Saccharomyces cerevisiae S288C: one gene and its partners. Changing the gene in region 1 together with any one later gene gives a genetic interaction. Each region holds a gene or a part of one and is shown in the gene's direction. Other genes may lie near its edges.

The links.
Region 2: mutations in RAD57 (region 1) and REV1 together harm fitness more than expected from each alone (negative genetic interaction), as found in Saccharomyces cerevisiae (6 studies listed by BioGRID, with this or other methods).
Region 3: mutations in RAD57 (region 1) and NUP133 together harm fitness more than expected from each alone (negative genetic interaction), as found in Saccharomyces cerevisiae (4 studies listed by BioGRID, with this or other methods).

What each region holds. Positions count from the first base shown.
Region 1 is NC_001136.10:453,519-457,083, forward strand, and holds RAD57 (putative DNA-dependent ATPase RAD57), read left to right. Parts: upstream 1-1,682; coding exon 1,683-3,065; downstream 3,066-3,565. Other genes in the region: Ran GTPase-binding protein YRB1, read left to right, coding at 1-132; RCR2 (Rcr2p), read left to right, coding at 604-1,236; YDR003W-A (uncharacterized protein), read left to right, coding at 1,264-1,386; RNA polymerase III-inhibiting protein MAF1, read right to left, coding at 3,318-3,565. UniProt on the Saccharomyces cerevisiae protein: Participates in the repair of X-ray-induced damage to DNA and in meiosis. It may act in part by stabilizing a repair complex of other RAD genes.
Region 2 is NC_001147.6:980,126-985,345, forward strand, and holds REV1 (deoxycytidyl transferase), read left to right. Parts: upstream 1-1,702; coding exon 1,703-4,660; downstream 4,661-5,220. Other genes in the region: pyruvate kinase PYK2, read right to left, coding at 4,817-5,220. UniProt on the Saccharomyces cerevisiae protein: Deoxycytidyl transferase involved in DNA repair. Transfers a dCMP residue from dCTP to the 3'-end of a DNA primer in a template-dependent reaction.
Region 3 is NC_001143.9:591,078-596,858, forward strand, and holds NUP133 (Nup133p), read left to right. Parts: upstream 1-1,747; coding exon 1,748-5,221; downstream 5,222-5,781. Other genes in the region: MTD1 (methylenetetrahydrofolate dehydrogenase (NAD(+))), read left to right, coding at 1-280; rRNA-binding ribosome biosynthesis protein RPF2, read right to left, coding at 429-1,463; DAD2 (Dad2p), read right to left, coding at 5,344-5,745. UniProt on the Saccharomyces cerevisiae protein: Functions as a component of the nuclear pore complex (NPC).

The sequences.
Region 1 (3,565 bases):
GCTTGTACAGCAGATATTGCAGAAGGTGAAGCAGAAGCCTTCACTTTTGCTATCAGATTTGGCAGTAAGGAAAATGCTGATAAATTTAAAGAAGAATTTGAAAAAGCTCAAGAAATCAACAAAAAGGCTTAGTTTCGATGTGCTTGTTACTTGCGTCTAGATTTTTTTGTTCCTAATGTAATTTTCCTTTACAGCGTGCATATATATTTTTATCTACTGTGAGGAAAAGTTGCTCTTTAATTATATAAAAAACGCTTATGTAGCATTGTGAAATCACATATGAATAGATATGTAAGAAGGATTAGAGGGTTCAAGTAATTGTTGCAGTAGTCAATGTAGCCAAATGTCTAACCACTTTGGTGCATGGAGATTAGCTCAATAATCTCGTAGTATGTTTCCGGGTAATATTCTCTGTCTTATTTACCATCTTTATGTTTCCGCCCTTTTATTTTTGTTTTTCTCGCTACTCCTTTATAATTACTAATGAGAATCGAATACTATAGAAATTTTTGACGTAATAAAGGAGCAGTAAATTTGGAATACATTCCTTAGCTCGCTAGAAAGCTGAAGGAAATTTAGCTAAACAGAGAGTATAGTTTTGAAATGATTTTACGGGAGCAGATCGACTTCCTAATACATAAAAGACAGGATGATAATAATAACAATGGTGAAGCGATTACAGATGATGATCCATTTAGCTCTTCCTCATGGAGATGGGGAAGATGGATTTTTTTTATTTTTTTCATAGTTGCACTCCTTATACTTCTGTTTTCAACTGCAAAAGTGAATAGGAGAAGAAGAATTATGGGTCAAGCTCCGATTAGGGGAACCGCTTGGTTAACCCCGCCTACCTACAGGCAGTCCGAGAGAGATTACAATGGCACACAGCGTTGCGTTGAAGACTATGTTCCTGAATATACAGAGACAGCAAATGAGAATGATTTGGGGTTTTACGACGAACGAGGAGAGTTTCATCCTAATGGCAAAACGGAATATTTAGCGCCACCGCCTTTATCAGAAGAACAAGCTAGCTCGACTGATAAAGACTTACAGCGCCCAGTGGCTGCCGTCGTACGAATTCCTAGTGAAAGTGAATTCGACTTCAATCTGCTAAGACCCACTATGAATAATTTCGTTAATGGTCAGAGTAATCGCAACGAGCAGCATTCTCCGACTGTTGAATCTTCTTCCTTTGATGTTAATAACGCGCCGGCAAGAGCGAAAGTGAGTAAGTGATTTTTCGTTTAATGAATTTATTATCGCATGACTTGCGGTATAGAAAATAGTTATAAGAGTGCTGAAAAAAAAAAGAAGTACAGAAGTTTTCGTTTCTTTGAAAGTCGCGATTATTCCGAGTTGTGTATTATAGTAGGAACATACTATTGATTTAGGTTTGAGAGCTGGTAGTATCGACGTCCAGAACAGTCAATTCATCGGAACGCTTTCGACTCGGTCCACGGAAAAGCCATTCAACGATTTATACGGACGGTGATTTTGATTAGTCTAATTGCCTATATATTATAAATATATTCTTCCTTTACCTATTTCTTCTCACACATTATCCTCTAAGTAACATGAGAATTCAGATGCCGGTTAATCTTCGGCTTTTTCGCGTTGAATTCAAAAAATGAAAATGATGAACAACCACTGGGAATTCACCATTTTTCAAAGTGTGTAAATTCATGCCTAGGGCCTTATCAATAAAATTTGACAATACGTATATGGACCTTTACGATGAATTACCGGAAAGTAAACTCCTTTATGATGAAGAATTTTCATATCTTTTGGATGCAGTAAGGCAAAATGGTGTCTGCGTCGTAGATTTTTTAACACTCACTCCGAAGGAATTGGCAAGGCTAATACAAAGGTCGATAAATGAGGTTTTCAGATTTCAGCAATTGCTTGTTCATGAATATAATGAAAAGTACTTAGAAATCTGTGAAAAAAACTCTATCAGCCCAGATAACGGTCCTGAGTGTTTCACGACTGCTGATGTAGCTATGGATGAATTATTAGGTGGAGGCATATTCACGCATGGCATTACAGAAATATTCGGAGAGAGCTCTACTGGTAAATCTCAATTACTTATGCAGTTGGCGTTAAGTGTCCAACTTTCCGAACCTGCGGGAGGGCTTGGCGGCAAATGTGTATATATTACCACTGAGGGCGATTTACCAACTCAGAGATTGGAAAGTATGCTATCGTCTAGGCCGGCTTATGAAAAACTAGGTATTACACAATCAAATATTTTCACCGTCAGCTGTAACGACCTAATAAATCAGGAACACATAATCAATGTTCAGTTGCCTATTTTATTAGAGAGATCTAAGGGTTCAATAAAATTGGTGATAATAGATTCGATTTCTCATCATTTGAGGGTGGAGCTTCAGAACAAGTCCTTCAGAGAATCCCAAGAAAATAAAAACTATCTGGATAGGATGGCAGAGAAGCTCCAAATACTGGCCCACGATTATTCATTATCCGTTGTGGTGGCTAATCAAGTTGGGGATAAACCACTGGCTAACAGTCCAGTGGCACATAGGACATATGTAACTGATTATGATTATCAGCTAGGGTGGCTAGTTGGCTGGAAGAACTCAACCATTCTTTATCGGCAGATGAATTCGCTGCTTGGAGCAAGTTCCAATAACGATGAAATTCTATCAGACGATGAAGATTATATGCTAATCGAGAGAGTTATGAGCACTGTAAATGACCGGAATTATGATTTTTTTTCAAAAAAGAAACCACCCATAATTGAGAATAAAACCGTTGAGCGAAATTCATCAAGTCCTATCAGTCGACAAAGTAAGAAACGGAAATTTGACTATCGTGTCCCCAATCTCGGTTTGACTTGGTCCAATCACGTTTCAACACGAATATTACTTCAAAAATCTTTCAAGGCTTCAACAATAATTCAAAGAGGTGAAGCTCATCTTTATAAGGGAGGTGATTCGGCAAGCTTCTGGCAAGTTAAGAGGACAATGAAAGTGGTATATTCCACATTCGCTAAGCCTGGTCAAATTGCATATCAAATTACTAAGCGAGGAATAGAAACAGCCTGATTGAAGTTCCGTATTCGAAAGAAACTAAGAGCTTTGCAGTAATATATGATGAAGGCAGTCTTTTTATATAGTAGCGCACATTATTCAATCCTCGCTAAAGTGTTCAATTAGTAAATATAATATTGTCATAAAGGTACATAGTTGAAAAGGGTATTTTTTTAAAAATAGAAACTTACAATAGTAGACATAAAGGGACTGTTTTTAACGATTATAGGTGTAAGACAAGGAAAATTCACAAATTAAAGTTTAAAACTACTGTAGGGATTCTTCTTGATCTGATTTATCATCTATTACATTCTCATCATAAGTGAAATCGTATTCTCCTTCGTATTCATTTGAGCCATCATCTATTATAAGCTTTCCCTGAGGTTTTTTTGCCAAGGCATCTTCCACTTCGCCTGTACTCGAATTTAGACGCGAGCAAATCAAGTAAAGGTAAGCCACTCTTTTCCTTTTCCTGTTGTAAAGAAAACCTATAAGATTCCAAAGATAGCCAGGCT
Region 2 (5,220 bases), on another chromosome or scaffold:
AATTATTCTAATATCCACCGAATTTTCGAAAAGTATACTAATTTAAACATTTGGTGTAAGCGTTTAGGTTGCTAACGTAGCAGCAAACGTTGGTATCAATCACCACTTATTGCGCTACATTTCAACAATGTTCTTGAGAAATGGGTGAATGTTGAGATAATTGTTGGGATTCCATTGTTGATAAAGGCTATAATATTAGGTATACAGAATATACTAGAAGTTCTCCTCGAGGGTCTAGGAATCCCCATAATGGAATCTATATTTCTATATACCAATATTACGATTATTCCTCATTCCGTTTTATATGTTTCATTATCCTATTACATTATCAATCCTTGCACTTCAGCTTCCTCTAACTTCGATGACAGCTTCTCATAACTTGTGTCATCATCTTAACACCGTATATGATAATATATTGATAGTATAACTATTAGTTGATAGACGATAGTGGATTTTTATTCCAACAGTTCTCTTCAACCATTCGTTTTTGGGACTGAGGAAAATGAATATAAAATTATAATACTTCATCTTGAACTTTGAGAAATCACAAATTGTATGGGCGTGTGGTCTAGTGGAATGATTCTCGCTTTGGGCGATCCCCCTGATCAAACAGGAGGAACAAAGCATGCGAGAGGCCCTGGGTTCAATTCCCAGCTCGCCCCTTTTTTTGCAACTTCGTTTTAGACAGTTACTTAATTTTGTTTCTTAGGCACAACAATATTTATAAAAGAAGAATGTAAGTATGACGACGAAAACGAAAAGACTAATAGTTTCATATAATACTAAACGATTTCAATTTTCGTTTTATATCCTTCCTATTCATAAATTTTATTTCGCTATGCCAATAATGAGTGGATGTATAGTTGATATCTGTTTCGATAATTTTAAAGTAGATAGTAAAATCTTACTGACATGAATAATCCGTCCAAAACTAGATTACTGTATACAAGCATATTTAAAAAAATAATGAAACTATGATCAAAAAACTGTGCTACTACAGCGGTGTTGTTATCCGATACAACCGGATATTTTTCTTTTAATGAGTCTAAACCGTGATAGCTTCAGGTTAATACAATCAAAAAAAGCTCAAATATTCTTTTAATGCCGCGTTCACAGATTCCAATTGAATACAACTAGGTAGTTCATTATATGAAGCCTTTGCTACTATTTTTCACTATAGTCTGCCTTCACCTTAATGCAGACATCCACATATTTTAATCACTTTAAAATAAAAAGGAAGATATATTAGAAGCTATGATCCAATCTGTAAGCCAGATTAAAATTCACGAACTCTTCTTTCATTTGAATTGAATGCTTTGAGTTGGGGTAGATTATCGCAAATTACTCATCACATTTATTGACTACGAACTTGCTGATGTCCTTTTTTTATTTATATTTTTCTTCAGTGAAGCGATTTTTTTTTTACACAGACCAAGACGGAAAAAAGTAGCTAAGGAAGAAAACAAAATCATGAAAAAAATGTGAAGTGATCATGCACATCGCATCAACTTAAACATTGGCTTAGAGATATATAGAGTTAGAGTTTACGGCAACCTTTAAGCACCAATACCTTTTGGCATAGTCTAAAGACCTGGTTCTTAATTTTAAACAAATTTAACTAAAGATTTCCCTATCAAAGAAGTAACGAGTTGACAGATTTTCTCAAAATAAATCGATACTGCATTTCTAGGCATATCCAGCGATGGGTGAACATGGTGGTCTTGTAGATTTATTGGACAGCGATTTGGAATACTCTATAAATAGGGAAACACCTGATAAAAACAATTGCCTTAGCCAGCAAAGTGTCAATGATTCACATTTAACAGCAAAGACCGGCGGCTTGAATGCAAGGTCTTTTCTATCTACGTTAAGCGATGATTCCTTAATTGAATATGTCAACCAACTCTCCCAAACTAATAAGAATAATTCTAATCCAACTGCAGGTACTTTAAGATTTACTACTAAAAATATTAGCTGTGATGAATTACATGCTGATCTTGGCGGTGGCGAAGATTCACCTATAGCTCGTAGCGTCATCGAGATCCAGGAAAGTGATAGCAATGGTGATGATGTTAAAAAAAATACTGTGTATACTAGGGAGGCTTATTTCCACGAGAAGGCGCACGGACAAACCCTGCAAGATCAAATATTAAAAGATCAATATAAAGATCAAATTTCTAGTCAAAGCAGTAAAATATTCAAAAATTGCGTCATCTATATAAATGGCTACACCAAACCTGGAAGACTGCAATTACACGAGATGATAGTTTTACATGGCGGAAAATTTTTACACTATTTGTCTTCAAAGAAAACGGTTACTCACATAGTGGCTTCCAATTTACCATTAAAGAAAAGGATTGAATTTGCAAATTACAAAGTAGTCAGTCCGGATTGGATAGTTGATAGCGTCAAAGAAGCAAGATTATTGCCCTGGCAAAATTACTCGTTAACATCTAAACTTGATGAACAGCAAAAAAAACTAGATAATTGTAAAACCGTAAATTCAATTCCATTGCCCTCAGAGACTAGCCTGCACAAAGGATCTAAATGTGTAGGGTCGGCATTGTTGCCAGTAGAACAGCAGTCACCAGTAAATCTCAATAATTTGGAGGCGAAAAGGATAGTCGCTTGTGATGATCCTGATTTCCTTACTTCCTATTTTGCTCATTCGAGATTACATCATCTCTCCGCATGGAAGGCCAATCTGAAAGATAAATTTCTGAATGAAAACATCCACAAGTACACCAAAATTACGGATAAGGATACCTACATTATCTTTCATATCGATTTTGACTGTTTTTTTGCAACTGTTGCGTATCTATGTAGAAGTTCTAGTTTCTCAGCATGTGATTTTAAACGGGATCCTATAGTGGTATGCCATGGTACTAAAAACTCCGATATAGCTAGTTGCAATTATGTAGCAAGGTCATATGGGATTAAAAATGGAATGTGGGTGTCTCAAGCTGAAAAGATGTTGCCAAATGGGATCAAACTAATATCATTACCATATACCTTTGAGCAATTTCAATTAAAATCGGAAGCCTTTTACAGTACTCTCAAAAGATTGAACATATTCAATTTGATTTTACCTATATCTATTGATGAAGCTGTTTGTGTGAGGATAATCCCTGATAATATTCATAACACTAATACCTTAAATGCAAGACTGTGCGAAGAAATACGCCAAGAAATTTTTCAAGGAACGAATGGTTGCACAGTGAGCATTGGATGTTCCGATTCTCTTGTGTTAGCAAGACTAGCTCTCAAAATGGCGAAACCAAATGGTTACAATATCACGTTTAAGAGTAACCTATCTGAAGAATTCTGGTCTAGTTTCAAACTAGATGATCTGCCTGGAGTTGGGCATTCTACTCTGTCAAGGTTAGAATCAACGTTTGATAGCCCACATTCTTTAAATGACTTGAGAAAAAGATATACTTTAGATGCTTTGAAGGCGAGCGTCGGCTCTAAGTTAGGTATGAAGATTCATCTCGCGTTACAAGGCCAAGATGATGAAGAAAGCTTGAAAATACTGTACGATCCCAAAGAAGTCTTACAAAGAAAATCATTATCAATTGATATCAATTGGGGAATCAGATTTAAAAATATCACTCAGGTAGACTTGTTCATAGAAAGAGGTTGTCAGTATCTTTTAGAAAAATTGAATGAAATAAACAAAACAACGTCACAAATCACATTAAAACTGATGAGAAGATGTAAAGACGCTCCAATTGAACCCCCAAAATATATGGGGATGGGAAGGTGCGACTCATTCAGTCGGAGCAGCAGATTAGGTATTCCAACAAACGAATTTGGAATTATTGCTACCGAAATGAAAAGTTTGTATCGAACTTTGGGCTGCCCTCCAATGGAATTAAGAGGTCTTGCTCTACAATTCAACAAATTGGTTGATGTGGGTCCGGATAACAATCAGCTGAAACTGAGGTTACCGTTTAAAACAATAGTGACGAACAGAGCTTTCGAAGCCTTACCGGAAGATGTAAAAAATGACATTAACAACGAGTTCGAGAAAAGAAATTATAAGAGAAAAGAATCCGGGTTGACTTCAAACTCATTGAGCTCTAAAAAAAAAGGATTTGCCATTTCCAGATTAGAAGTAAATGATTTGCCCAGTACTATGGAAGAACAGTTTATGAATGAACTACCAACCCAAATTCGAGCAGAAGTAAGGCACGACTTGAGAATTCAGAAAAAAATCCAACAGACAAAGTTAGGAAACCTACAAGAAAAGATAAAAAGGAGAGAAGAGAGCCTACAGAACGAGAAAAATCATTTCATGGGCCAAAATAGTATATTCCAGCCGATCAAATTCCAAAATCTGACACGGTTCAAAAAAATTTGTCAATTAGTGAAACAATGGGTTGCCGAAACTTTAGGTGATGGAGGGCCGCATGAAAAAGATGTTAAATTATTCGTGAAATATTTGATTAAACTTTGCGATTCTAATAGAGTCCATTTAGTTCTTCATTTATCAAACCTAATATCAAGGGAATTAAATCTCTGCGCCTTTTTAAATCAGGATCATTCAGGCTTCCAAACGTGGGAAAGAATTTTACTCAATGATATAATTCCACTTTTAAACAGAAATAAACATACTTACCAGACTGTGCGTAAACTTGACATGGACTTTGAAGTTTGAATTAAAAAAAAAAAAACATTTCAGCATACAGTAAACACGCAGTTTGCGAACATTACCTGTAATATCTGCATGATTATTACCAAAGAAAAAAAAAATAACTGACACAATGGACAATTAAATAAAATTAAGTAAAAAAAATAAGGACTTTAATTTTTACTAGAATTCTTGACCAACAGTAGAAATGCGTAAGGTATTGGAATGGCCGACTCCTCCTTTGAATCCTTGAATGGAAACAACAGTATCACCGTTGTCCACCATTCCGAAAGACCTCGCCATTTCAACACCAAACTTTAGGCGCCTATGAACATCCTCACCCCAGTCGTCTAGGCGTTTCGGTTCATACAGAAATGGGAAAACACCTCTATACAAATGCGCAATTCTTGCCGTTCTTGCGTGTCTTGTTACTAATATGATAGGGCAGCTTGGTCTATACTTCGACAGTAGCCTTGCCGTGTTCCCTGTAGTAGATAATACAACGATGGCCTTACCATCTTGCTCCAAGATTGCTGCGGTAGCTGCAGCTGCTACAGTTTCCGTAGTGGAAGTAGGTTTGGGAGTGG
Region 3 (5,781 bases), on another chromosome or scaffold:
GGAAGACCTTGGGGAGTACTCTGAAGATCTGTTGAAAAAGTGTTCTCTTGATTCAGATGTGGTCATCACTGGTGTCCCTAGTGAAAATTACAAATTCCCCACCGAATACATCAAAGAAGGTGCCGTCTGCATCAATTTTGCATGCACCAAAAATTTTAGCGATGATGTCAAGGAAAAAGCTTCTCTTTACGTTCCAATGACTGGTAAAGTTACCATTGCAATGTTGTTGAGAAACATGTTACGTTTAGTAAGGAACGTAGAACTGTCTAAAGAAAAATAGAACATTTGTGGCTGTTCAAATAAGCATAGGTAAAACAGAATACATAAAAATAAGGGAAAAAAAGAAAGATCATTTGTAATGTACTTACTACATACATATAGAATTCTCCTCTCTTAGATTATCATATAATATACAAAGTTTATGGGTCTTATTTCTTCTGTCTTTTAGCAGAGGGCTCAATATCAGTGGCACTGACGAACTCTTCTTCGTATTCTTGTCCATCATCCGAATACGACGCTTCATCTTCGTAGTCTTCATCTACCTCTCCATCACCTTCTTCAGTTCCTTGGTCGAATTTGGATTTCAAACCCTTCATCTTTCTTGTTTGTAGTTTACCCAAATCTTGTTTGCCCATATGGATTCTACCCAATTTATCACCCATGATATCTAATTCTACATTCTTCTTTGTCTTCATTTCTAATTGTTTTGGCTTCTTGTGAGCTTCAGTGACCATATCTGGACTTGGAGTATGAATTCTGCCGATTTTGAAATCTAGACGTGGCCCAATCTCCACCAATTCAATACGTGGTAATCTCTTACCACCTTGGTCGCTTTTATAACTTTTTAATTTGTAAACACGGAATAGAACGTTCGGCAATGGCTCACCATCTTGGAAGTCACCTTGAATGGTCATGGAAATGACATGTTGTAATCCCGCAACATCCTGTAAATCAGTAGATTCGCCTCTAAAGAAATCTAAAAACAAAGATTTAATTTGCTTGTATACGGGATGTGTATCAAATGCAGCACCTTGGAATGTAAACATAGGCTTCAACCCTACAGTAAATGTTAATTTCTTAAAATCAGATAACAACTTGAAATTATCTGCAACCATTAGTTCAATCATATCATATATTTTGTAGCCAAATGTACGTATAAAGGTCATGTTGTTTTTACGCTTTTTGGAACTTGTCATCAGCACCATCAATGAACAGTCATTCTTTTCACTAAAGAACTCTAGTGGCGACATGTCTTCGAAAGGATGAATATCATTCTTACGATTGAACCTCTTCATATCTGGCTTCTTCAAGGCACTCAAATCTACCATAATATCGTGCAGATTCTTGTTACAGCTTTGCCCTGGAATGAATAGCGCTTGCTTGACATTCTCTACCAACTTAGCTTCCCTCTTTACCAAAGCTCTCTTGGCTCTTGCATTCTTGGGTTTTACGGTTCTAATCATTTTTTCTGCCAGTGTTCTCCTGCGCTTTTGGATATGATAACTTCAATACAACTCATCGATATACCAAATCACTTTCCAATAATGCATTACACTATAAGAAAATTCGATCCTTAGCTCATCGCAAAAAAATGAAAAATTTTCAAATCGTATAAAACGATATATTTGAGGATTTAGGAATCAAAATAGCAGAATAAACCAAAACATACACCATTTAGGAATAAGGTTTAGAGGAGCTCGAGCATACTGTTACATCCAATTCAAGTGAAGTACATTAGGATAGCCATATGAGTGAAAAAAAAGTACATCTTCGTTTGCGGAAGGAACTTAGCGTACCCATTGCGGTGGTTGAAAACGAATCCCTGGCGCAGTTGTCTTATGAAGAGGAAAGCCAGGCCTCTCTAATGGACATTTCCATGGAGCAGCAACAGTTAAGGTTACATTCGCACTTTGATAATTCCAAGGTTTTCACAGAAAATAACAGATACATAGTAAAAACCCTTCAAACAGACTACAGTAGCGGATTCAGTAACGATGACGAATTGAATGGATATATCGATATGCAAATTGGATATGGACTAGTCAATGACCACAAGAAGGTTTACATCTGGAATATTCACTCCACTCAAAAGGATACGCCCTATATAACTGTACCATTTCGTTCTGATGATAATGATGAAATAGCAGTCGCGCCCAGGTGCATACTAACTTTCCCTGCTACAATGGATGAGTCTCCATTAGCACTGAATCCTAATGATCAGGACGAAACCGGAGGGCTTATCATTATCAAAGGTAGCAAAGCGATATATTATGAGGATATCAACTCCATAAATAATTTGAACTTTAAGTTATCTGAAAAATTCTCTCACGAGTTAGAATTACCCATCAACTCTTCGGGCGGAGAGAAGTGTGACCTAATGTTAAACTGCGAACCTGCTGGTATAGTGCTTTCTACAAATATGGGCAGAATATTTTTTATAACCATTAGAAATTCCATGGGTAAACCTCAACTGAAGTTAGGCAAACTATTAAATAAACCTTTCAAATTGGGTATCTGGTCCAAAATTTTCAATACAAACAGTTCAGTTGTCTCATTACGAAATGGACCTATCCTCGGTAAGGGGACAAGGTTAGTATATATTACTACTAACAAAGGAATTTTTCAAACATGGCAGTTGTCTGCCACGAATTCCCATCCAACAAAATTGATTGATGTAAACATTTACGAAGCCATTTTAGAGTCGCTCCAGGATTTGTATCCATTTGCTCATGGTACGTTGAAGATTTGGGACTCTCATCCATTACAAGATGAAAGTTCACAACTTTTCCTGTCATCTATTTACGACAGTTCATGCAATGAAACATATTATATTCTTTCCACGATTATCTTCGATTCTTCTTCTAATAGTTTTACTATTTTTTCCACTTATAGATTGAACACTTTTATGGAGTCAATAACCGACACAAAGTTTAAGCCTAAGATATTTATACCTCAGATGGAGAATGCTAACGATACCAATGAGGTAACTTCCATTTTGGTAATGTTCCCCAATGCTGTTGTCATTACTCAGGTGAACTCAAAATTGGACTCTAGCTATTCAATGAGAAGAAAGTGGGAAGATATTGTTAGCCTTAGAAATGACATTGATATAATTGGTTCTGGTTACGACTCAAAATCTTTGTATGTTTTAACGAAACAAATGGGGGTGCTACAGTTTTTTGTGAAAGAGAATGAGGAAACAAATTCTAAACCGGAAGTTGGGTTTGTCAAATCTCATGTTGATCAAGCTGTTTATTTCTCCAAAATAAATGCAAATCCCATAGATTTCAATTTACCTCCAGAAATTTCACTAGATCAAGAATCTATAGAGCATGATTTAAAATTAACCAGCGAGGAGATTTTTCATTCCAACGGCAAGTACATACCCCCTATGCTAAATACGTTGGGGCAACATCTCTCTGTCCGTAAAGAATTTTTTCAAAATTTCCTGACATTTGTTGCTAAGAACTTCAACTATAAAATATCACCCGAACTGAAATTGGATCTGATCGAAAAATTTGAGATCTTGAATTGCTGTATTAAGTTCAATAGTATCATCAGACAATCTGATGTATTGAACGATATATGGGAGAAGACTTTATCAAACTATAATCTGACACAAAATGAACACTTAACTACTAAAACAGTTGTAATCAACAGTCCCGACGTATTTCCAGTAATCTTTAAACAATTTTTAAACCATGTTGTGTTTGTTTTGTTCCCATCACAAAATCAAAATTTCAAACTAAATGTTACCAATTTAATCAACTTATGCTTTTATGATGGAATTCTTGAAGAAGGTGAAAAAACTATAAGGTATGAACTTTTGGAGTTAGACCCGATGGAGGTTGATACATCCAAGCTACCATGGTTCATAAACTTTGATTACTTAAACTGTATCAATCAATGTTTTTTTGATTTTACATTTGCGTGTGAGGAGGAAGGAAGTCTGGATTCTTATAAAGAGGGCTTGTTAAAGATTGTGAAAATTTTATATTATCAGTTCAACCAATTTAAAATATGGATCAACACGCAACCCGTTAAATCTGTGAACGCCAATGATAATTTTATAAATATCAACAATCTTTATGATGATAACCACCTGGATTGGAACCACGTCCTTTGTAAGGTAAATCTAAAAGAACAGTGTATTCAAATAGCAGAATTTTACAAAGATTTATCTGGATTGGTGCAAACATTACAAACTTTAGATCAAAATGACTCAACAACCGTATCGCTATACGAAACATTCTTCAACGAATTCCCTAAAGAGTTTAGCTTTACATTATTTGAATATTTAATCAAGCATAAAAAATTGAACGACCTCATCTTCAGGTTCCCACAACAACACGATGTTTTAATACAGTTTTTCCAAGAGTCCGCTCCAAAGTACGGTCATGTAGCATGGATCCAACAGATTCTGGATGGGTCGTACGCAGATGCCATGAATACTTTAAAAAACATTACTGTTGATGATTCAAAGAAGGGCGAAAGCTTGAGCGAATGTGAATTGCACTTGAATGTTGCAAAATTAAGCTCGTTGCTAGTTGAAAAGGATAATTTGGACATTAATACTTTGAGAAAGATCCAATATAATTTAGATACAATTGATGCTGAGAAAAATATTTCAAACAAATTGAAAAAGGGCGAAGTTCAGATATGTAAACGCTTCAAGAATGGCTCTATCAGGGAAGTTTTCAACATATTAGTGGAAGAGCTTAAATCAACAACAGTAGTCAATCTATCGGATCTCGTTGAGTTGTATTCTATGCTCGACGATGAAGAGAGCTTATTCATACCGCTAAGGCTTCTTTCTGTTGATGGAAACTTACTGAATTTTGAAGTTAAAAAGTTCTTGAATGCTTTGGTATGGAGAAGAATCGTTCTACTAAATGCTAGTAATGAAGGAGATAAACTGCTTCAGCATATAGTCAAACGTGTTTTTGATGAAGAACTACCCAAAAATAATGATTTCCCCTTGCCCAGTGTGGATCTTTTATGTGACAAATCGTTACTGACGCCAGAATACATAAGCGAAACATATGGCAGGTTTCCTATTGATCAGAATGCCATACGTGAAGAGATATATGAAGAAATATCTCAAGTGGAAACGTTGAACTCAGACAACTCACTCGAGATAAAGTTGCACTCGACTATTGGTTCTGTAGCGAAAGAAAAAAACTATACCATCAACTATGAAACCAACACTGTAGAATACTAATATCTATAATACAATTTTACATATATATAATAAACTTTACTGGGGAATGATAATAATAAATATGTATATGCTATTATCGCAACTGCCTTCTTCCGATTTATATAAGATCCTTTTCTTTCTGTTCATTCGTTACCATCTACCCTAATTCTGACCATTGTTTCCGGCAAGGGTACCAGATCTTCATCCTCATCATTATCTTCATCATTCTTATCATTTTCTTGCGCTTCAAGACCTGTTTCATTTGATTGTTCAGATTCCTTTTTCTTAGAATCTTTCCACGGTCCTATCTCATAATCACCCTCTGCATATTGCAATAATCCCAAACTTGCTTGCGATATATTGTTTATTATAGAATCCCAATTGTTCATCAATTGGGCCACTGAATCCGCATTCATTCCCATTTCTTTGATCTGCTCATTCAACTCTGTTAGCTGAATTTTTAAGCCATCCGTTAAACTGGTTATCTTTTGTAATGACTGAAGTTCTTTTCGCTTTATAGCAATTTGTTCATCTATTGAATCCATAATAACTGTCTGAATTATGAGTTTTTCAAACCTATT